Linked DNA regions of Diceros bicornis minor. The protein of the gene in region 3 interacts with the protein of the main gene of each other region in a biochemical or structural test. Links are inferred from orthologs where the notes say so. Each region holds a gene or a part of one and is shown on either strand. Other genes may lie near its edges. The genes, in order: SIRPA, KIT and MATK.

Evidence for each region.
Region 1: the proteins of MATK (region 3) and SIRPA form a complex in vitro, tested with the Homo sapiens proteins (3 studies listed by BioGRID, with this or other methods). The link is inferred for Diceros bicornis minor from reciprocal best matches to the Homo sapiens genes MATK and SIRPA.
Region 2: the proteins of MATK (region 3) and KIT form a complex in vitro, tested with the Homo sapiens proteins (2 studies listed by BioGRID). The link is inferred for Diceros bicornis minor from reciprocal best matches to the Homo sapiens genes MATK and KIT.

The regions. Positions count from the first base shown.
Region 1 is NC_080758.1:30,550,050-30,558,071, forward strand, and holds the start of SIRPA (tyrosine-protein phosphatase non-receptor type substrate 1), read left to right. Parts: upstream 1-4,860; 5' UTR 4,861-4,913; intron 4,914-5,370; 5' UTR 5,371-5,379; coding exon 5,380-5,458; intron 5,459-8,022. UniProt on the Homo sapiens protein: Immunoglobulin-like cell surface receptor for CD47. Acts as docking protein and induces translocation of PTPN6, PTPN11 and other binding partners from the cytosol to the plasma membrane.
Region 2 is NC_080747.1:42,550,607-42,558,178, reverse strand, and holds the start of KIT (mast/stem cell growth factor receptor Kit), read right to left. Parts: upstream 3,275-7,572; 5' UTR 3,200-3,274; coding exon 3,133-3,199; intron 1-3,132. UniProt on the Homo sapiens protein: Tyrosine-protein kinase that acts as a cell-surface receptor for the cytokine KITLG/SCF and plays an essential role in the regulation of cell survival and proliferation, hematopoiesis, stem cell maintenance, gametogenesis, mast cell development, migration and function, and in melanogenesis.
Region 3 is NW_026691553.1:2,892,644-2,900,416, forward strand, and holds the start of MATK (megakaryocyte-associated tyrosine-protein kinase), read right to left. Parts: upstream 3,638-7,773; 5' UTR 3,489-3,637; intron 2,247-3,488; exon of another isoform or gene 2,230-2,246; 5' UTR 2,181-2,229; coding exon 2,172-2,180; intron 1,774-2,171; coding exon 1,660-1,773; intron 1,565-1,659; coding exon 1,449-1,564; intron 1,366-1,448; coding exon 1,146-1,365; intron 416-1,145; coding exon 322-415; intron 1-321.

The DNA.
Region 1 (8,022 bases), on a different chromosome or scaffold from region 3:
TTAACCCTTACGAGAAAACTTTTAAGGTATGGTTCCATCAGTCCCCGAATCTGGGCAAGTGAGGCACAGATGGGCAAAGTAACTTGCCCCACGGCCAGTCTGAGGCAGCACTGGGGTTTGAGACAGAGGATGTGTTTCAAGAGCCAGGCACTGGGCCACTGGGCTGGACTGAGCTGTGGCTAGTTAAGATGCACAAAACGCCATAAAGACACACAACACTGGCAGGCCGTGATGCGTGCTATGAAGACATGATAAAGTAGGGAGAGGAGGAGAGCGCATCGGGGTGGGGGGAGGTGACTATTTTAACGGGGTGGCAAGGCCTCTCGGAGGAGGAGGTGACCTGTGAGCAGAGACCTCCCTAAGGCAGCTTTCCTGTCTGTAAAGTGAAGGAATCACCAGCACCGTCTCCCAGGTGTGGTGTGAATGTCACAAGAACATGCCTGTAAAGCATAGCAGATGCTGAACAAACGGGAACTTATCATTATTTGGAGAACCGAGTTTGAATCCTCACTGGCTCCGCCACTCACCAGCTGTGTGTCCCGGGCAAGTCACTCCGTCCCTCTGAACTTCAGTTTCCGCGGCTATAAAATGGCTGCCGTGAGCCTTGGGGACAGCCCAGTACAGGTCAGAGAAGAGAGCAGGGGCGCCTTAAGGGCGCTCCCAGCTCCTGCCCCCCACCGCCCTCTCAACAGGCTGTCAGCAGCCCCTCTCTGGGGCAGTTGGTTCCCTGGTCCAGGAATCCCTGCTGTTTTTATTTTTATTGTTCTGGCTCCACAGCTGAGGCCTCTAACTCCAAAAGGCTCCTCTTGCCCAGAAAAATAGGTCGTTGGCAGCTCCAGTCCTGACAGGCCCCACACAAAGGCGGCCCGGCGGGCCTGCGGGCTGACGCCAGCCCAGGGTTATGGGAAGCGAGGAGGGAGCCCGGCCGGGCTGGCGCCAGGCAGAGCTGGGTCCCCGTGGGTTCCTGCAGGCCCAGGCACAGTGACCCTGGCCCAGTCGCTTTCTGTCCCTGGCTTGTTTCCTCACCTCCGGGACCACCTTCAAGGAGGCTATCCATGTGGAAGGGCCTGGCACACACAGGGGCGCCACCACCCACCTGCAGAGGCTAACTCCAGGTATGCTCCCCCGTGGTGGCTTTCCCATCTGTGCCACCACCGACCCCTCGTCTCGAGGTGGACCTGCTTATTCCTATTGCACAGATGGAGAGACTGAGGCTCATAAAATCAATTTTCCCCAAATCGCACAAGTCAAATTGTGCAGAGTCTTGGCTTGGAAGCCCTTTGCGCTCATTCAAGTCTTCTCTGCAGCGGACCCTGGACAGCAGGGGAGGGACATGATCTGACCTCTATCAAGGGATCCCTCTGGCTGCTGAGTGGAGAATGGATGGGGGAAGAGGAGGACAAGGGTGGAAAGAGGGTGCCGGTGGGAGATGGTGGAGGCGCAGACAGGGTGGAAGCAGCAGAGCAGGCACCGGGAAGTGGTTTGGTCTTGCATGTGATGAGAAGGTGGAGCCCAGGGGACAGGCTGCAGGGGGGGAGTGACAGAGAAGTGTCAGGAGCAATGCAGGGATGGAGCCGCCGCCCGTGCTTCCCATCTCCATCTCGCAGGTCTTTGCTCAAATATCACCTCCTCTGAGGCCTCCCTGACCCGCCCCCCTTGTTGGCCCTGGGTGCCTTCCTGCTTTCTCTCCCCCTGTAGCCTTATCCCCATCACAGAGACTAAATATTTCACATACCGTTTGTTTGTTTGCCCCACTAGAGTGTCAGCTCCTTGGGGGCAGGAGTTTTTGTCTGTTTTTTCCCACCTCCTGCATCCCCGGTGCCTAGCACAGAGGCTGGCACATAGTAGATGCTTAATAAATATTGCTGAGTGAGTGCATGAATGGATGGTACATGTACGAAGGCAGATCAGTTTTAATCCAGGGGAGCCCAGGACGACTCCTAGGGAGGTGGCTGATTCACCTCAACTACCTGCCATAATCTCTCTGTGACCTCAGGTCTCCCGACCTCAGATGCTCAGCTGCCCATTGGTCTCAATGAGCTCCCAGCCCTGACGGTCGGCCAAGGGTGATTTTTATGTGGAGGCTGGATCAGGAGGAAAGGGCCCAGGCCGCCTCCTGGGGCAGAGGTGAGGATGAAAATGGTCCCTGTGCTGGGCAGCCGTCCTGGGCGCCTTTGCCAAAGGTGCTGTATATACATAGCAGGTGGTGCGATTATTATCCTGGCCTAATCTGCAGCTTCCTAATCCCAGGCAGGGTGTGTGTGTGTGTGTGTGTGCGTGCACGTGCGCGTGTCCTGGGGAACAGCGAATGGCAGAGCTTTCTGGAAGCCCAGGCCAGGAGTCTACCTCATCTCTGGTGGTCATCAGTAGCCCCTGCCCCCACTCCCACCCCAGATGGATTCGTGTGATGGATTTTCCCAGGAGCCTCAGCTGGTCACCTTCACGGTCTCAGCCAGATGTGGCCTGAAGAGTTGGAGACTCCCTCCCCCAACCTGAGATACTAGGAGGACCCCAGAACAAACTCCTCACTGGTACCCTGATTCCATGCTCCCCTCTACTCTCAGCCACAGTGGCCTTTTAAACACACCAATCAGACCATGGGGCTCCCCTGCTTAAACCCTCCAGTGATTTCCTGTCTGCAGAATAAACACAGGCTCTTTACCAAGGTCTGCAAGGCCACCCAGCCTGACCACTCTCCCCAATCCTTCGCTCATTCCTCTCCAGCCAAGCTGGCCCCAGGGCCTTTATACGTGCTGCTCCCTTTTTCTGGGAACAGCAAATCCCCACATCCTCACCTTGCTGCCCCTTCTTGTGATTCAGTTCTCAGCTTCCCAGGGAGGCCTTACCCTTATTTAAATCAGCGTACCCTTCTCACTCTCTAAGCTCAATCTTCTGTTGCTCATTAATTATTTCTACTACTGTACTTATCTGTCTCCCCACTAGAATATAAATTCCTCGTGGACGGGGCCTTGTGTGGGTCACTGCTGTGTCTCCCACGCCCAAAGAAAAGAAAATCCCCTCGCCCTTCAAACACTGCCCAGAACTCTATGGGTTCCGAGGACTGTTGCTGAACACTTTCCTTATTTATCAAATGCTTACGTAGCCCCTGGGACATGCTAGGCACTTTTTAAAATGTTGTACAAATATTAAGTCATCTAATTCTCACACCAGCCTTTTTAGGTTGATATTCACATTGGCCTCATTTCAGATGCGAAAGCTGAGGCACCGAAATAAGTTCTTTTCTCAAGTCGACACAGCTCATAAGAGGTGGCTGGCAGGATCTGAACCCAGGGAGTCTGCTCCACACTCTCAACAGCTGCACCCTGCCTGCCTCCCTGTCTTAGCCCAACACCAGAAGCAGGCATTTGACAGGGAGGCAGGGCTAGGGATGGGGTGTGACTTTGCAAAGGTTTTTAGCCTAGAAATCAGGAATCAAGTCTTGTTTCTATCCTAGGCCTTGCTGCGTGGCCTTAGGCAAGTCCACTCCCTCTCTGGGCCCAGACACCCTCTAGATGTACAAGGCTGGCCCTTCTCCCACCCTGCTTCATTCATATCCTCTTAATGGCCTTGTGAAGCAAAATTGGGTATTGCTTACTTCCGAGCCCCAAACCCTCCAGTTAGCACAGGGTCTTGGATTCCTTTCCCTCCCACAGCCCAGAGCCTTCTTTTGCCAGATGACCAGCATGCTCACTCCCTATCCCTGACCTGGCTGCTCCTGGGAACACAGCCTTTCCTCACGGAAAAAGAGAGGGAGAGAAAGGAGCATGGGCTTCTTTCACCTAGGCTATCGCCCCTCTCCAGGCCCCTGCTCTCCTCTTCCCCTCGTCTTCCTCACTGCCTGTCATTTTCCTGGAGCCCAGGCCTTCAAGTCAAGCCCCCTTCTCCCCGCCCCCAACCCTGCCTGAGCCTTCCGCACCCCCTGAATGGGCCATGCCTGACAGAGAGGCAACTGGGGGAGAGCGCCCACCTCCCCAGCGAGGCCCGGACCCAGACCCTTCCCCTCTGGTTTCCAGGCCGCAGCCCCCCTTCTCGCTCCCTCTCCTCCCTGCGCCTCTTTTCCAGGCGGTGCTGAAGTCCTTCCTACACACACGCTATTTTTGTACCATCACTCTCTCCTTCCTCTCCCCCTTCCCCCTACATTCACTTACTTCCTGCTTTTCCTTCACCTCGGGCCGAGCTCTGAAAGAATTGGGCCCCTCTGGCCGGCGCCCACCCCCAAGAGGGCCCTTCAGCTTTGGGGCACAGGGGCAGGGCCGCTTGGCGAGGGGCCAAAGGCAGACCCCACCCCGTGTCCCCCTCCACTCCCCCACTCCCTCCCCGCCTCTCCCCAGCGGGACGCAGGGACAAACCCCGGCCGGAGTCCGGAGGCGAGGGCAGGTCGGCCGCAACTTCCCCAGTCCACCTTAAGAGGACGGTGTCGCCAGCTCGCGGCGCTGACCTTAGGAAAACAAGTTTGCGCTCAGTGGAGCGGGGGGCCCGGCCTCTGGGCAGCCCGCGGCGGCGCTTCCACAGCCTTCCAGCCCTCGCAGGCGGCGCAGGTCCGAGCCCGGCCGGCAGTGGGAGGGGGAGGAGAGGGGACGGCGCGGGGCCGGGGGCAGCGGCGCGGGCTTCTGCACTGGCACGCTGTTGGCGCCGGGGGCTCGTCCAGTCCCGAGCCCGAGCGGCTGCGCCGGCGGGGGGCTCGCGGGGCCGCCTCCCGGGGTGCCGGGGCCGCGGCGCGGGCGAGGGGGCGCTGCTGGCGGGCGCAAGCCGAGAAGCTGCCGGCGGCCGAGCCCCGCAGCCCCCGGGCGCGCGGGGGGCGGAGGGAGGGGGGCGGGAGGGGGCCGGGCTGCCGGGAGGGCGGGGGCCGCGGCCGGGACCGCGGGCCGGGAGCGAGCCGAGCGCCGGCGCCGCGAGGAGCCCGGGCGGGGCAGGTGGGCAGCGGCGGGGGCGGCTCGCGCCGGACGGGGCCGTGCTGCCCCTCGCCCTCCGGCGGTCCTCCTCTCCCGCGCTGGCGGTCTCGCTCGGCGCGCCGCCGCGCGCTCCTTTCTCTCCCTCTCTCCCCCTCGCGCCTCTCCGTGTCTCTGGCTCTCTGCCTGGCTCCCTTGGGTCTGTTTCTCTCTCCTGCCGCCTCTCTCTGGCTTTATTTCTCGCGCGCTCGGGGTCTCTCCCCCTCTCTGTCTCTCGATCTCTCCCGGGGAGGGGGGTCTCCGAAAATCGCGGCGGTGACGGCAGCTCCTAAGCCGCTCCAGGCGCCCGTTCCGGGGAGGGGGAAGCCCGGCCGGGAGGGGTGGGGGGGGGGAGCGGGGGGGGTGTCTTAGTCATTTCCCCGCTCCAGCCTGCGCCCGCCCGAGCGCGCACTCACGGCCGCTCTCCCTCCTCGCTCCGCAGCCGCGGCCCATGGAGCCCGCCGGCCCGGCCCCCGGCCGCCTCGGGCCGCTGCTCTGCCTGCTGCTCGCCGCGTCCTGCGCCCGGACAGGTAAGCACCCCCCACCCCCACCGCTGCCATCCCCAAACTGCGGGCTCAGGCCTCTCAGACCGCCACTGGGAGCCGCTCGGCTATGTAGAGCAGTAATAGGGGGGAAAATGCCTGTGATCAGGGTTACAGATGCGGAAACTGAGGCCCAGAGAGGGCCAGCGACTTGCCCAAGGTCACACAGCCAAGGATAAAACCCAGTCTCTCTGGACTCTGACTGTACGGCACTGTGCCACGCACTGGGACATACCCAGATGAGTTGATTCACCCGGCCCCTGCCCAATCTGATGGGAGAGGCAGGCTGTCAGCTGCTTTCAGAGCCAGGAGCCCTGGCTTCTCTAGAAGCTCTTTCTCTGGACCTGTGTTTTCCACACGTTTGACTTCAGGGTCAGAGACAGGGAGTGGGGCAGAGGTCCTCTGGCTCTGCCTGGGATGGAACAGAAACAGGCTGTTGCAATTAGGGAGGAGTGAGCTCTCTCTCTCTGGTGCGCAGAGTAAAACAGTGTTAGCCTGTGTATAGAGGAGAAAGCGAGGAAGGGAGGCCCGGTAACCCTGGGGTGAGCTGCTGCAAGCAGCAGATCCTGATGTGAAAACACAGTGGATTGTCCCTGTGGTTACCAAAGCCTCTGGCTGGATGGTCTTGCTTCTTGTGGCTCTCCTGGCCCCCCCACTTCCTCCTGCCTTCCCTGGCAGCTCCCTGCAGTTCAGGTGCTCTGTGGGGCTGTTACCTGTGGCTCTGAACGTGGCTTTTCGTTGGCCTACATCAAACACCTGGCTGTCTCCAGCAGGCGGGCTCTGAAGGCTACCGTATGTGTTCGCCAAGGGGTGAGGTCACCGTTCAGGAGTACTGCTTCTTAAAGGGGTTTTGCAAAACCACGGTCTCCTGGGAGGGCGTGGGGGGCAGAGAAACGTTGTTCAAGAGTTGGGGTGGAGAAGAAGAATGGGGATCTTATTTTTTGAAGCTGTGTTGCCAGCAGAGGGGTCTCTGCACCTCCCTCGAGGAGGGAGGTAAAGATGAGCTCAGTATCCTCCCCCCTTCTGCATTTGCCTAGAGACTGGTAACCATCTGATAGCACCGAGAAAGGGAGAGCTAGCAAAGAGTGGGTGGAGGGAGAAGTGGGGGTGGACAGCAGCTTCTCTCTGCCCTGCAGTTTCCCCCGAACCTCGGGAATCCATGTAGGCATCCCCCCCACCCCCCGGGGCTTTCAGTGCCAGTTGGGTTCTTGCTGGGCTGGGTGGAGGTAAACACTGATATATTTCATGTCTCTCTGGTGAGTGGCATCTCTGATCTGCTGCTTCCTGCCTGAGCCGGCCATTTACACCCTGCAAAGCCCGGTTCCTGCCCTGCCATCCTCCTGGCCTGCAAACGCACGAGCGTCTCGCAGAAGTGCTTAATTTTCCTGAAGCGGGGAACTGGGCCCAAGTTAATTTCTAAATGTCTATTCCAGACCCTTCTCCACCCAGGACCCTGTGGTTCAGTCCCTGGCAAATGAGCTGTGACGCTGATTAACAAGTGTTCAGATGGGCAGCCTGCCTCTCCTGGGCACTGGCTGGGAACACCAACACCCTTCTTGTGAGCAAATCTCCCCCTTTTACCTATAAAAACAATCTATAAAATGGTAAAGATTAGGCCATAAAACTTCCGTTCCAATCCATTCAGCATCAATAGCCTGAAAAAGTGGGAGCAGCAGAGGGGCCAAGATTAACTTTGAAATAAATAAATCTTAGAAGGTGAGAATAAATTTCTTGGTTGAGGGTGGTGGGGAAGGGATGGGGTGTCACCGTCATAGCTCAAATCTCCCAGCATCCTTCGCTCTCGTTCTACGGGGTTCTGGTCACACTCTGGGCCCTGGCATGGAGTTCACTGGTTTGGCTGAAGGATGGGGCTTCAGGCCCCTCCCTCAATTGCTCCAGGCATGAAATTTATGACAAAGCAGAAGAGAGTCAGGACAGAAGGGCAGGGAGGTAGAAGGAGTCAGTTGTCCAATTTTGTAAGAAAATGAATTTGTTCGAGTGAGAAACTCAAATGTCAGGCTTCAGAAGGCAGCTAGGATTGAATGACTACTAGTGTCTCAGGCAGAACTGTCAGCCTGGGAGGTGTCACATGATCGCTGTGGCTTCACATGATCGGGATCTGGAGGGGCTAGTCATGTAAATTATCTTGGTTGGGGAGGCAGGGGAAGAAGTTTCTAAAGATTCCTTTCAGCACAAATGCTGCCAAAGGGAAATTCTAAAAAGATGCACGTGAAGTCACCAACCTGTGTTCTTGGAGCCAACGAGAGGTCTGTTTCCTAAAACAGCTTTGCTGAGGGAGATTCTGAGACTAGGAGAAAGGCAAGGATCTGGGGCTTGGGGACACCTGGGCACCCTGATTCTGCAACAGCAGCGCCTGCCACTGACCCTGTGGGCTTCTGGCTTGGCCCCACCTAGGTCTTGGGACCTGGGGGTCACCTGCTGGGCAGACCTCAGATGAGCTCCCGTTCACTCCTTGCTCGGCCTGGAGAAGGCCAGGCCACGTTGGGTTTCAGGCTTCGGGGGATAGCTGGGCCCTCTGGTGGGCCTGACCC
Region 2 (7,572 bases), on a different chromosome or scaffold from region 3:
GGTAAATGGCCAATGGTATTCCCATTACGGGGGGTTTCTCTTTCACAAGTATGCCACAAGTATATAATGCTAAGACCATTTTTATTTTTTGGAGTGGGGGATGGAAAAAATTTTCAGCTGGCTTACACCATCATTTTAGGGACAGTTTATCTTCATTTCTGAGAGACTCTACCTGGAATGGGAGAGCTCACACCTAAAGCCCTTATACCCAAGGCTATAATTTAATGACTTCCCTCAAACTGAGAACACTCGAACTCAGACATCATAAGACAGGCAATTCTAGGTCTTTTTCACCAAAATTGGGAAAGTAATGACTTGGCCATCTTGTGTTCCCAGAACCTCCAACAATGCCTGGCGTTTAACAGGTCCTCATTAAATAGTTTCGAATGGGTAAGTCATGTGAATGGATATACAGCTGGGCACACGCGGCCAATCTCAGGTTTCACCACTGATGACTCTGGGAACTGACTTCTCCTCAGCCAGTTTCCCCAGCTGTAAAATGGTAGGGATGGCAACAGTTCTACCTCCGGTGCTTGTTGAGAGGACTGGAAATGCCAGGTGAAGGCTCCAGCACAGGCCCTGGCACACAGTTTCCAAATAAAAAGCAATAACTACGTACAACACACATGTAACGTGAAATTTAAGACACATCAGAAAACGTGCTGTAAATGCACAGCATACACGATTTATAAGGTCCTAAGGAAAAACGTGTGGATGAGCAGGAAAGACCAGAATGGGGATAAATGAATTATCTGGAATCCCTTTATAAGACTATCATATTACTTCCAGCAGGATATTAAGCCAGAATATCCTGTGTCCAGCTGCTGGGTATGACTCTAGGCTCACATCTGCAGGAACATGGGGAAGGTATGATTCACTATTCCTTGCAGGTTCATCCTGCCGGGCACAGGAGTTGTAAATACTGGGGGGAGGGGGGGGGTAGGTGATGAGGGTCCTGTAGAGTTGCAAGTTGGCACCTCCTAGCCCTCAAAGGGAAATAGCAGGCCAGCATGTGTGGATTGAAGAGAGGGCAGCATAAGCACATCTCCCTGCCTTAACCAGGGGGAGACCAGTAGGATACCACCAAGTGGTCCCTGTGACAGAGGCGGCAGAGAGATTTCAAGGAGGCAGGAAGGAATCAGGAAAAAACTCAGAAAAAGTGTAGAGTCTACACTCAGAACACTGGAAGAGGAGAATTTTTGGATCCAAAGGACCCTTCATGATGCAGATGCCTCACTGCCCCCTTCAGGAAACTGGGCTCTCCAGAATTTAAGCGACCTGCCCAAGGGCATAGAGAAACCAGAACGGCAGCACAAGGCTTTGTCACTACACCACAGTGCCCCCCAGAAGCCAGACCTTAAAATTCCCTTTGCCAAAAGCCTACTGGATGGAGCAAGCTACTGATGCGGAAGAAGGAAGCAAATGATTCATTTAATTTTTAAAAAGGGAAATATTCTGCGTGGTCTGTCTTTCTAGTGCCTTACTCCCTTCCGGTCTACATACCTTAACTGAAATTAAAAATGCCAAGATGTAAAGACCAAACGTTTCATTGGAAGCTTAGGCGGTCAAATCCACCACGAAATCCGGACACTCACTCACGATCCCTCCTACCTCACACGAGTCCAGATGCAAGGGCCCCCTTCTCCGACAGGTAAGCCCTGACAATGCCTTCCAAGACCGGGAAGGCGGACCCTGCATCTTGCGACTTTATGGGAAAACTGACCATAGAGCCCCACAATAGTTCATAGCGATGCTTCCTCTGGAGCCCTTGAATTCCAGTTCAGACTCACTTTCTGTCCTCACATCATGAGGGTAGCCTTAAAGCTTTTTAAAAAATGACCTGAGAGCGAGCAGGGCTCCAGGGGTTAGCTGGGCGACCTGCGCTCGCTCGCGCACCAGCGACACCCAGAGAAAAGGGAAGAAGGGGCAGGAATCTGACTGAGGAGCCTGTAAATCCTTCTCCTCCGCCTTAAGACCCAAGTTCCCGCGCAGATATAACCGGATTTTCACAACAGCTTTAAGATCCAAGTAAGATTTGCAAAGTTCCACTCCGTCTCCCACCCTTCACCTCCCGCAGCCCTTATATATAGATATCACGTGGAGTGAGTATTGCGAATCTCAAAATTCCCAAAGAAAACAGGGACCTGCGATTACAGGTTGCAGACACCGATTCCGGGGGCTTGCAGAGCCCCGCTAGCCTGACCAGGCGTGGGAGGCGGCCGGGGTCGGGGACCACGGCGTCCCAGCGCACTGTCCCTGCCTTCCCCGAGAGCAAGCGGCAACGCAGCCACCAGCCGCTTCCAGGCGCGTGGCAGGGAAGCAAGCGGCAGAGAGTGGCGAGCCTCTGGCACCGGACTTATTAAAGCTAAAAGTCTGCAACCTAGCGGCTGCTTTCCACACGCTCTGCCCAAGCTGCCTCTGTAGCCGCCCCCTCCAGGTTAGCGGGGTCGGGCCCCAGAGCCGCACGCGGCGCGCTCCCGGTGCAAAAGCATGACCAGGGGTTCGGGGGGACGCCGCAGCCTTCGACTCGCGTCCACGAGTGGCGCCGCGAGCAGAGGCGGCAGTGGGTCAGTCCTCAGCTCCCAGGCACAAAGAGCGCTCGCGGTTTGGAAAGCAGCAGCCGCAGAGCAAAGAAAAGCCTCTCCAACTTTGACCTCGGCGCGGCTGAGAAGCTGCGGGCCGGTCCCCCGGTGCGCCGGTCACACACGCGCAACTTTTAACAAAAGGAAGCAGCGGCCGCGCCTCGCACGGCGGAGATAACGCGCTGGGTGCGACCCGCCGACCCGTCCGCCTGTGCCCTCACGCACTCTCGGCACAAAAGCAACCCCAAACTCGCACGCAGCTCGCTGCCCTCAGCCTGCACCTCGCTCACGCCTAAACCCCCTCGCTGCCCTCATTTCTGGAAGACCCCAGCTCAGCGTCCCCACCACCAGCGGCTGGGGTCTCCTCGCGCAGGTGAGCGAGGCAGGGCGCAGGAAAGTCCGGGGACGCCTCCCATCCTCCCAGAGGCTGAAATGCACGGGCACTGGAGGGCCAGCAGCCCCCTCTCCAGACACACCCCAACGTGTTCGAGCCCTCGGGGGCACAGGCTGCGCCAGGGGCGCGGCCCCGGTGCCCGCGGCGCTCTCCCACCTGTCTGGACGCGGAACAGGAGAAGCAGGACGCAGAGAAAATCCCAGGCGCCGCGAGCGCCTCTCATCGCGGTGGCTGCGCTGGGATCGGAGCTCCGTTCCACGTTCCTGCTCTTGCCCAAGTGCACCAAGCGCGGCAAAGCCGAGCCCCCAAGAGCCGCGAGCTGCGAGCAGCTGCCCCTCCTCCCAGCGCCCTCCCCCTGCGCGCCGGCCACGCCCCTTCTCGGCGCCCCTCCTCGCCTCCCCTCCCCTCCCTGCCTCACGGCTGATTCTCGCTCCCTGCCGGCGGCGTCTGGCCCCTGCTTTTTCGACGTACTCATCCCGGGGGTCTGAGCCCGCGGGGAGCGGGAGGGCGCGCCGACCCTCTTCGCCGCTTCCCGACCCCGGAGCCCCTTCGTCTCTTCACTCCTGTGATGTGGTCTGGGCGCCGGAGGCGGTTCCCGGACGGGGGTGGTGCTGCCCGCGCGCTTTGTGAAGCTGGGCACCACGCGCAGATTAGGGCACGGGCCCGCCACCTGGCAGGTGCTCCCCAGACAATAAAGGTTCGCCGCCTGCCCCTCGAGCACGCTCCTGAGGGAGGAGGCTGGACGCCGCTAGTGGTGGAGGTGGACAGGAATTGGGGGCAGAGGGAGAAGAATGTCTTCTCCATTTCTTTTAGTCGGGGTGGGGGCGACCAAGCGTGGTGCCTGGCACCGCGGTAAAAGGCTAAGCCGCGGCGTAATTCTTTCTGGTCAGTTTCTCCACCTGCTTCTCAACCGGTAAGATCACAGTTGGTTTCTATTGGTCGGCGTGGCCTCCGCCCTACAAGCCCCTGCCGAGGCTTTTCTGGAGACTGGGGCCTCGGAGTGGGGAGGGGCGCCTTGCGAAGTTTGCTCTGGGAGCCCGAGTTTTTACACCCATTTGCGCCGAGATCGTTGTGCTAAACCCTCTGGGCACCTTCTCTTTTTGTCCCCCATACGGTTTCTCTGGCCCTCTATGCGAAGACAGTTACAGGGGTGGGGATCCGAGCCGTTCCTCTTCTGCTGCCCTAGCCTGTACCAGGAGCAAAATAATAGTGAAAGGATTCTCCTAAGCCAGGTTCCACTGCCTGGGAAGGTCCCAACAGTATCTGTATAGGGTTTTATAGTTCCTCCTTACACTGAATATTATTTCATGCTCACAATAACAGCTTTGCGAGGTAGGTAGAGCAGATATGTTTATTATTCTAGTTCTAGAAGTGGCCCAAGATCACACAGCTAATAGAGAGGAGACCCAGTCATTTTGGTGGCTCCGGGTATGATGAGCTTTCCTTATGCATCCTAATAAACCAGTAAAACACCCCTCCAGAGAGCTTAACAATGGAAAATAAATGGGAAATGCTCATCAGAAAAAGCGATGGAATAATTTAGATACACCTAGACTCTTCTCTAAAATAACATTCAAAATTTATAATTAACCAGCAGCACCCCACACACACTTTAACATTGAAAGTTCTCCTGTTTGATGTTGATAGGACCTAAGTTGGTTTAAGAAAAATGATTTTTAAAGCTAATCACTTAAAAATTATTGCTACTAGATCAATGGGTATGATTGCCTCTCTTTAAGATTATTTATTCATTCAACAAGCATTAAAGTGTCTACTGTGAACAAGGAGTACCATTGTTAACAGACAGATGTGGGCACTGCCACAATCCTTATAGTCAAGTGTGGGAACCCACACCCCAATGTCCTAGCAAATGGTTCAAGTCATACAGCTGTGGGAGAAGTGAAATGCAAAAGTCTCTGTACTCTGCGCCCTCAGACCACAGCTTTTTCTGAGGATGACAGAGATAAAAGCTCCACTCAAAGCAATCATAAGTTTCTGGGATCTTGATTTATTTCTAAAATCCATTTCGTAGTGAGAAAAAAATGACTATGAGTTAAAATATCAACATTATACCCGAGAGAGAAAATTCACAATTTTCTTCTTCAATCGACTGATATTGGAGAGGATAACAAGTCTTCAGAAGGGTGGATGAAAAGAGACCATATTGCAATTTAATTCTAGGCAGGAAACTTCTATCAAAGGGGAAAAAAAAAAACCTAGAGTAGGGAATTATACAATGCGTGACTGTTGTTCATGTTCACCATTCAACAAATACCTGTTGAGCACCTAGGTAGACACAAGACCTACAAAAATCAATAAGACAAGGTCCCTGTCTAGGAGGATTCACAGTCCAGGGGAGAAAACAGATGCCCAAATAAGAAACTATAATATCTACTAACGGGGCTCATGTTCTGCCAGTACACACCAAGTTGGTTGGTAGAATATTGAAATCTTTCTGTACTTATTGGAAAAAAGCCACTCCTCCAAAACACCTAAGTGCCCCCTCACTCCAACCCCTCCCTTGAGATACCCCAACTCTCCTCAGATCCAGCAATTAAAGGTTTAATGCCGGGCACAGCAGAGAGCCTCCAGTCCCTGTGCCTTTAGGGTGATTAGCTATTTTTAATAATACCCTCTGCCAGCCAGGTACTAAAAGGAGGCATCTAGAAGGTGCTCTGAGTGAACTGCTATGGGAATGAACTATATTTTAGATCATGTCCAATACAAACGTTTACAATGATGGAAATATTTGATATCTCAGGTAGGATGTACAGGACCAGTTCTGTACTCTATTTTGTGATAGCCCTGGACCCTTTCATGAATTATATTGTATATAATTTATTGTTTTCATAATTGTCCAGAGATGATAGCATTCTACACTTTCCTAGATCCAAGAACTCAAAAACGTGAGGACTTGAAGGTAGTGTGTGTGTGTGTACACACACATGCATTTTTCTGCATCTCCATCCTTCAGCAATACTTTCCTGTATTGATTCCCTGTCCTCATGTGCACTCAAGCAGCTCTAGGCTTACAGCTCATTAGTACCAATGTAAGCAGAGCTTTTCTGCCCTCATGAACATCTCCTTTAAAAGTATTAACTTGGCTTAAGTCACATGCCCACTTGGAACCAGTCACAAAGCCAGACAGATGGAATATGATGATTGGCCAGGTCTGGCTCACATGCCCACCCCTGGAGCCAGGGTTGAGTATCCACTTCATCCACATCCCAAGGCCTAAGAATGAGAAGGGATATGTCCCCAAAGAAAACCTGAGGTACTTTCACTAGAAGAAGCCGAAATGATGCTGCACAAATAGAACAGATGTTCAGTATTATGTACACCTGAAATTTATATAATGTTATAAACCAATGTTACTGCAATAAAAAATTAAATTAAATTTTAAAAGATGTTCTACTATTGTCTCACATAGCCCAAATCTCTAACTTGAAAAATTTTTTAATTTCTGATTGTAAAAGTAAAGATGCTTTCTGTGGAAACTTTAGAAAATACCAAAAATTATAAAGAACAAAACAAAAATCACCCAAGATATAATTACTGAAGCGTTCATTTTGGTGTGTTTCTTTCAAATCTTTTTTCTCTGCTTATGCTAAGGATTTTTTTTTCTTTGTATAATTTAAGATTTTACAATACTTGCTAGTTTTCTATCCAGCTTTTTCACTAATCATAACACAAGCATTGTCCCAGATCATTAAAAATTCTTTGGGGGGCTGGCCCCGTGGCATAGCCGTTAAGTTCGGCGTGCTCCACTTCAGCGGTCTGGGTTCGCAGGTTTGGATTTCGAGAATGGACCTACACCACACATCAAGCCATGCTGTGGCGGTGACCCACATACAAAATAGAGGGAGAACAGGCACAGATGTTAGCTCAGGGCTAATCTTCCTCACCCAAAAAAAAAAAAATTTCTGTGGAAACATAATACATAACAGCAGTATAATGTTCACTTGTATGTATGTACCATAATTCTAAATATGTAATCATTTCTCTATTTTTTTCCAGTTTTTTCCTATCATAAATTACTTGATTATGAACATCTTGGTGAATAAAACTTCCCTGCCTCTGATTATTTGTATAGGATAAATTTCTGGGGGTGGAATTACTACACCAAGGGTATAATCTTTTTCAAGTTTGTTACTTGATAGTCCTTATTTTTCCAGTAACCATTTGAAAGGTTTTGTGCATAAAGTGGGAGAAATGGATATGTGATCCTCATTGGTGGACTCTATACCAACAATAACCACCTCACCATTGGTGAGGATGGGAGAAGGTAGTGTATGCTCTTAGTTCAAGCTTTCACCCAGTGTTTATTGAACACCTTCTATATGCCAGATGAGCTACATTAGGTGCTGGGAAGGAAAAGTCAGACAAGACACAGATGCCGCCCCCATGAGATTTGCAGAAAAAGAAGAGAGACACGTAAGGGGATCAAAGATTAAATTGTTATATGTACCCTGACAGAGCTATGTGCAGGATGACATGTGAACCCTAAATCATGTTATACGGCGATCTCACGAGGCTCCCCCAAAGAGGTAGCAATTAGATTCTGAGGGATCAGGAGGAGAAGGCAAAGCAGGAAGA
Region 3 (7,773 bases):
CAGCCACAACAAAAGGTTCTGGAAGGCGGTGGAGCTGCCGGGCCCCCCTCCTTCAAGTGGGGGAGCGACGTGGGTGGAATTTCTCTGTGGGCAGAGGCGGAGAGGAAGCAGGACGCCCCCCCCAGGAAAAAGGTGGTTTGATGGGTGGGCTTGAGGCTCGGGGTGGGGGGTGGGGGGCGACATTTCACAGGTGTTAGAACCCGGCCATGGAGGGGATGTGGGAGGGTGGGGAGGCAAGGCTCAGAGGCAGGTTTCTGGCTCAGGTGACGTGGCCGCGGCCATGCGCCCGGGGCCGCGCGGGCGGGGAAGGGCGCGCCTTACCCTTGGCCAGCTCCTCCTCCGCCGACCTGGTGCCCTGTTTCCTCCTGGGTTTCACGAGCCGCGTGCAGATGGCCCCCTTGTCTTTGCTGTAATGCTGCAGGGTGGGGCGGGGCAGAGGCGCGTGAGCCCGACCCCGGGCTGCGGGGAACCCCTGCAGCCCGTCCCCTTCCCAGGGGGTCTCTGGGTGGGGTGGGCCGGAGCTGGGGAGGCGGGAGGAAAGGGGTTTGGTTCTCGCAGGATGAGTTGGGCTCGTTTCCATGGAAACGGAGAGGATGCAGGAGAGGAGGAAAACAGGAGGATCCTGGGGAGGTGGGGGGGGTCTCTGGATTCGTGTCAACTTGGAGGTTCCTAGGGGTCCCCAGAGGGCCACCCCAGTCCCTGGAGGTGGAACCCCGAGGACTCAGACCACCTCTAGGGTTGGTGGTCCATGGAGGCTAGCCCCTCCTACTCCACAGTGAGGAGCATGCGCCCTGGGGGTCCCAGGTGCACCCAGCTGCCGGGATGGGGCGGGGTCTGGGGTCCCTCCATCTCGCTTTGGGAAGCACGTGACTCTGGGGGTCCCAGGTGCACCCAGCTGCCGGGATGGAGCGGGGCCTGGGGTCTCTCCATCTCGGCTTTGGGGAGCACGCGCCTATGGGGGTCCAGGGCCCACACAATTGCCGGGAAGGGGCGGGGCCTGGGGTCCCTCCATCTCCGCATTAGGGAGCATGCGCTCTGGGGGTCCCGGGTCCACCCAATTGCCGGGATGGGGCGGGGCCTGGGGTCCCTCCATCCCGGCTTTGGGGAGCACGCAGCTCCGGGGGTCCGGAGCCGCGAGGCCGCACCTCCACCATATCCATGAGGTTGCAGAAGCAGGCGGCCTCGTCGATGGTCAGGTGGCCGTCGCGGTGCAGCACGCGGTAGTGGATGACGTCGCGGCCGAAGCTCACGCACAGCACGTAGTCGCCGGGGTGCCGCACGGACTCGCGCACCAGGAACAGCCCGTCCTCGGGCGGCTGCAGCTGCTGCACGGCCTCCTGGCCCGAGATCTTCCCGTGGAACCACCTGCGGGCGGCGGGAGGGCGCGCTGGGCCGGGCTGGCCGGGGCCCCCGCCTCCCCCCGCCCCCGGGGCGTCCCCCCCACTCACGGCATGAGGCTGAGCTTGGGGTCCGCGGACAGGGCCTCGCGCTCCCGCAGCGCGCCGGCCGCCAGCAGCCCCTCCTGCCCGCTGGCGTGGTGCTTGGCCCGGTACCAGCTCTTGCTCTACCAGGGAGGGAGCCAGGGGTCGGTGTGTGTGTGTGGGGGGTCCTGACGGAGCCCCGTCCCCCAGCGCGCCAGGCCCTCCAGCCACCGCTCACCTCGCAGGCCTCCAAGATGGTGACCACATCGCCCTTGCGGAAGGCCAGCTCTCCCGGCTTGGGGCGCGTGTGCTCACACTTGGTGATGCATTGGGTGCCCGGGGCCCAGCGCCTCTGGGGGGGGGGCACAGGGCCGCATGAGGGCCAAGCGGGGCGGGGGGGAGAGGACAGGAGGGAGACAGGACTGGAAATTGAGCAAGAGACAGCCAGCCACCGAGCGACGGGGAGATGAGAGACAGACAGCAAATCGGATGGCGACAGAGACAGTAAACAACGGAGAGGAGGAGAGAGGGCAGGGCGCAGCCAGCAGAACAATATTAGTCACCAACCCAGGGGCCCAGGACCCAAGGTCAGAGAGAGAAGGCGAGAGAAAGTCAACACGAAGGGAGCGAGAAAGACTGGGCAGACACTGGCTGAAGGGGCCCCGGGTGGGAGTCTGGCCCCCCGGGGAGCTGAGGGCCTGCGGGTGTGGACTGAGTCGAGAAGGGCTGGGGACAGGCTGGGGTGCTCACCGTCGGCATCCTGCCTGGGAGGGTGGGGGTGCCCGGCGCGGAGGAAGCGAGGCCTCACCTGGGGAGGAGCAGAGACCAGCTGGAGAGCTCAGATTCCAGCCGGGCTGGGGCCCCAGCGCCCTCACTACCACTGTCAGCCCAGCCAGGTGGAGGCGACAGCCGGCGGGCATCCTCGGGGGTGGGGGTCCAGGCGCTGGCTCCCCAAGGCCCTGTGGGGAGGTGGTATGTACCGGGGGGAGCTCCTTAGCAAAGTCAAAGCCACGAACACCAGGAAGGGCACCATGGAGCCTCGCCTCGCCATGGTCCCCAAAGGGAAACTGAGGCACAAGGTGGGCACAGAGCAAGTGGCCACGGGCTGGGGCGGGGGGGGGGGGGAGCGTCTGGCTCAGGCCCCAGCAGCCCGCATGGTGCGTGGGGAGCTTGGTGCCACCTAATCGAGCCTCCTTCTTCCTCTTTTCTGGTAAGTGGGCAGGGGCAGGGCAGGGAACAGAGGATGATGATTCAAGGTCATTCCCAAGAATCCGTGACCCTGGCGGGGAGCGAGGGGACGAGGGCCATGCAGCCCTGCTGGGCTCCTCTGGCTGCCAGCTGAGCCTCTCTGATCCGCCCCCCCCCACAACCCAGGAGGGACACACACATTCACTCACTGCTGCTGGGGTGCCGGCATTTCCACCCCTGCCTCCCCCATGGACCCCACTGCAGGGGGCTGGTTGGGGGGGTGAGTCTGCGTCTCCAGTATGCGCCCCCCAAAAGTCCCCAACCTCACGTGTACTCGCACGCATACTGATCCGTGTACACACGAGCACACACACAGGTGGACAGAGGTGCCCACAGCCGCGCGGGTGTGCAAGCAGAGGCACGTTCCCCTAGAGACACGTGTGCACCCCCGTCCACACGTGTGTACACACGCACAGATGCTCGGACATCGGGAAACCTGTGTACCTGTCTCCCCCAGCGCACACACAGACCCACACTGGAACACCTGGGCGCCAGACACAGGGCCACCCGCGCACGCAGAGCGACACGCAGGGCCGCGCACACGCATCTCGGCCACACGCGCACATCCTCCACGTGGACGCGCGGATACACACGCCCGGGGGCTCGCAGACGCGCACACCCGCAGCCAGAAAATACCCCCACCCCGCGCCTGGTCGCCTCTAGCCACCGCCCGCCCCGGCCGCGTACCCGCCGCGCGCCCCGGACGCGCACCCTCGCGCGCACACCGGCCCCGTCCGCGCACGCCCGGGGTCCCCCTGGAGCCCTCCTGGTCCCCCGCTGCCCCGCGGTCTCTCCCCCCATCCCCGCCGCCGCGCTCACCTGCTCAGGGGGCGCCCCCGGGCCGCGCCCCGCGCTCGCCCCCAGGAGGGCCCCCGCGCGCCGGCTGCGCACCCCGAGGCGGCCTCGGCTGCACAACTTGGAGCAAGTTGCTCCGTTTCCTCATTTTGGGGGGGGGGAGGACTGGGGTGGGGGGGAGCGGGAGGCGCCGCGGCCTGGGAGGCCCCCGCGGGTCCTAGCGCCGGCCGCACTGCGGTCTGCTCCGCGCGCCGCCGCCGCCGCCGGCCCCTCCCCTCCCCGCCCCCGCGGCCCCCGGCGCCTCAGGCGCGGCCCGGGCGGGGGCTGGTGGCGCTCGCGGGCTCCCCGCCGCTCCCGGCCTGGCGCCGCGGGGCGCGCACCCCCGCCCACCCCGGATGCCGACGCCTTGGAGCGTGAAGCGGGTGCCGCGCTCGTGCGCGCGGGCAGGGGAGGCGGAGTGAGCTGCCCATCCGGGGAGGTAAGCAAGCCGCGGAGCCCAGACGACACAGTGGACCCTCTGAATCTGTGATTCCAGCGCCCTCAGTCACCTCCTCTGCCATGGGGGGGGACTCATTCAGAAGGCTGATGGTGCCTGGCGCAAAGAAAGCGCCCAAAAATGTCACCTGCTATCGGTATCGTTATGATCATCATCAATATTAAGGGAAAATTGGGGCCACAGAAAAAAAACTATTGGGAACTGAGGCCTCCTGGCGGAGCAGCCCTCCTTGGAGGTGAACAGTGGGGTGTGCCTGGGGCCATCCCAGCTGTGCCAGAGGCAGGGGCTGCTCCCACTCCAGCCTCGGTTTCCCCCTCTGTAGGGCTGGGCAGCACTGGCTTTGACCTCAGAGGACAGTCTCAGGTCAACTTGATGGCCACGCCTGGGCGTGGCCCCCTGCGATCGCCCTGTGAGCTCCGCCGCCTTCCTGCTCCGACAGGGATAAACCAAGATGCCCAGACAGCCTGGGTCCCCTCTTTAATCTTCTGTCCCCTGCAAGGCTAAGTGTGGGTGCCTCTAGGCATCTCATGATTTCTGGGAACAGAGGCCCAGTTAGGAGAGTGACAGAACAGCCACATGATGGGATAGTACGCAACAAAAACTAGGAAACTATGTGTGCTAACCTCAACAGTTGTCGAAACCGCCCCCCCACCACCAGGCTGTGACACAACACAAATGCATGACCCTATTCCTGTTATCCAGGAGAGAATAAGTCCGAGGGGAGAGTTCCAGAAGGGGAGCCCCCAACCGGCACCAGGGTTATCCCCAGTGAGGAGCGTGGGCAGGAGGAGAGGGAGGGGAGGGCGTCTTTCCTTCGCGGAGTGTAATTCATTATTCCCAGCTGGCGTTTGCAGGGAGGGGGCCTCCCTCCGAGGGGTTTCCTGGCCAGCAGGCTCCCCGGGCTCCATCTAGGGATCTGGCTGTGGGACGGGCCCAGGCTGTGGCCCCGCCTCCCAGCCGCCGGCACTGCTTGGGACCTGGGGCTGGGGACCTCGCGGCCGGCATTCAGTAGGGTCCCCCAGGCGCCCACCATATATGGCAAACCACCATCACTTGCCCGAAATAGACACGCAGCATCAAAATCGCACAGCGGAAACCCAGCGGCACCATCCGATTCCCACGAGAGACGCTGCCGCCCCGGCCCCACGACGGGGGCGCCTTCTCTCTGCCCAGCGCGGACACGAGCCCGCGTTCACCACGTCAGGACGCCCTAGCACCCCACGGAGACGTTCTCCTTCGTGCGATTCTTAGTGTCTAGGAGCACCTACATCCTCCCCGGGACCCCAGGGGTCCTGCCCCACACTCTGGAAGGCCCCGCTCCAGAAGGAATAAGCAGAGATACCAGAGGCATTGAGACTGGAGAAGGAGAGACTTAAGGAGACAGGTTCAGGTGCCTGAATCTCCAAAGGCTGGCCTGGGGTGCAGGGGGCCCCCAGGGCACTCAGCTGTGCCTGACTCTAGGGGGACAGATTCCAGTCCATGGTTTATTTGGGTCAGGGCTACCGAAGGGGTGAGCTCCCCGTCCCTGGAGGCACCCAAGCGTTGGTCACTTTGGATCACAAAGGGCACTCGCCCTTCCCTTCTACTAGCCTGAAGCCAGCTGGTAGCCACACCATGGGATCCGACTGCAGAATTCTCCAGTCCTGGGCTCCCTACCCTCCATCCAGACATTCTCTGACCCGCCCAGGCCACCCGCCTGGTGCAGGCAGGTGACAAGAGGCCCCCTCCCTGGTCTCCCAGCCACCCCTAGTCTTTCTCCTTGCTACCCTTCACCTTCCGCTGCATCGCCCAGGGAGGAGAATGTGACCTTGGCCCTCCCCTGCTCTGCATCCTTCCCTAGCTCCCTGCCGCCTGCAGGACAGAGTCTAGAACGCTCAGTCCGGCATCCAGGGTTCTTCGTGTTCTGCCTCCCTGGCCTCGTCTCCTGCTCCCACCAGGCACCCAGCAGTCCCAACTCTGAACTGCAGGCATTTGCATGCTTTTGCGCTGGCTGTTCCCTCTGCCCGGAATGCCCTTCCCCCCATCCAGCTGGCATCTCTGAGCTCATGCCCAACTCAACCGGCGCCATTTTTATGAAGCCTTCTTGGGCGCCCCCACCCCTTCTCGCAGCAAGAACCCACATCTGTGCTCTGAAAGGACCCCTCGAGGGGGACCCTGGCTCTCTGGTCTCACTGTGTGATGGGCGGGGACCTGGCAGCCTGCCTGGAGGAAGGCAGAGCCGAGAAATGGAGAGAGAGATCCAGCCATGCCTGGAGTTCATGCTAGAACTGGAGCCGCTGAGAGCCAGAAAGGCGAGGCTACTTGCCCATGGTCACACAGCTGGTTGGGGCTAAAAGTCAGGCCTGCAGACTCCCCCAATGGGGTTGCAAACTTCTCAAAGGCAGGACATGTTTCTTATTCTTACTAGTAGGGATGAAAATCATTGTAGGCAATGAACAAAGGGAGCCGTGTGACAGGCACTTTACATAATGCATCAGTGAGGATTAGGATTGGCTACACGGGATGGAGGACCCCAAGTGCTAAAGGCTTGAATTAGACAGAAATTAATCCTCTCCCGGGGAGGCAATCCTGAGCAGTGTCAGGGACCCAGGCTCCTGCCCTCTCGTTGCTCTGCCTTTCTTGGCACACGAACTTCCACCTCTTGATCTAAGATGGCTGCTCAAGCTCCAGCCATCCCATCTGCATTCCAGCCAACAGGAAGCAGGAAGTTGGCAGAGAAAGGTGCACCTCTTCCCTTTAAGGACTCTTCCTGGAAGACGCACATGACACCTTCATTTTATCCCGTTGGGTGGAACTTAGCCACATGGCCAAAGCCTGGGGCAGGAGAAGGTGGGAAACGCAGTCTTCACACCAGGGGCCATTCCCGGCTGTGGCTTCTGTACCTGGCACACAGCAGGTGCTCAGAACATATTCTTTAAGCCAATGACTATGGGGAGGGGAGAGGTACTGAGGTGTCACCTGTGAGGCAGGCACCCTCAGTGTACCCATTTCTCAGATGAGAATGCCGAGGCCCAGAGGGCGCCCGGGCTCGCCCCAGGACACGGGAGGTGGTGTGCTGGCCTTCGAACCCAGCCCGTCCGGCCCCAGGGCCCACAGGCCAGCCGCCTGGCGAGGTGTCGGGCACACGGTGGACCCCCAGAGAGAAAGTGCCGTACCGAGCTCTCTGATCTGGAGGGCGGGCGGGCAGATGTGGGGCCGGATCCTGGAGCGCGGCCGGATCGGACTGCCCCAATTAGCACGCCTTTAAATTTAGCCGTCTCCTCCCTGCCAGGGGCCTCGGGGACCCGGCGAGGAACGCTCCGCTCTGCTCTTTCGAGGAAACGTGCTGCCCCGCTGCTCCGCAGCCAGAGCTGCGGTTCGCGTCGAGCGAAAGGGCTCTCGGGGCGACCTGCTTTTTTGGGGTGCCGGAGGTGAGCTTCAGGCAGATCTGCCTTCCAGAGAGGAGGCTGTGTGCTCTCCCCCACATCCTCGCCCCATCATCCTGTGATGCGAGTAGAGTGGATCCGGCATGTCGTTTTCCAGCCACGCCTGCAGGTTCGATGTGGGTGAACTGGGTCTGTGTCACTTCCTGGCTGACGACCTGCCCGTGGTTTCCATCTGGCTGAGGATGGAACTTGGGCTTCTCACTGTCACCCCCCACTGGCTTGGTCTGGCCGCTGTCACCCCTCTGCTGTCAGCTCCCTCCACTTGCTCCTGTTCCTCAAATGCTTCAGGCACCAGCCAGCCTCAGGGCCTTTGCACGTGCTGTTTCCTCCTCCTCGTATGTGCTCCCCTCAGCTCTTCTCAAGGCTGGCTCCTTCTCGGCGTTTCCGG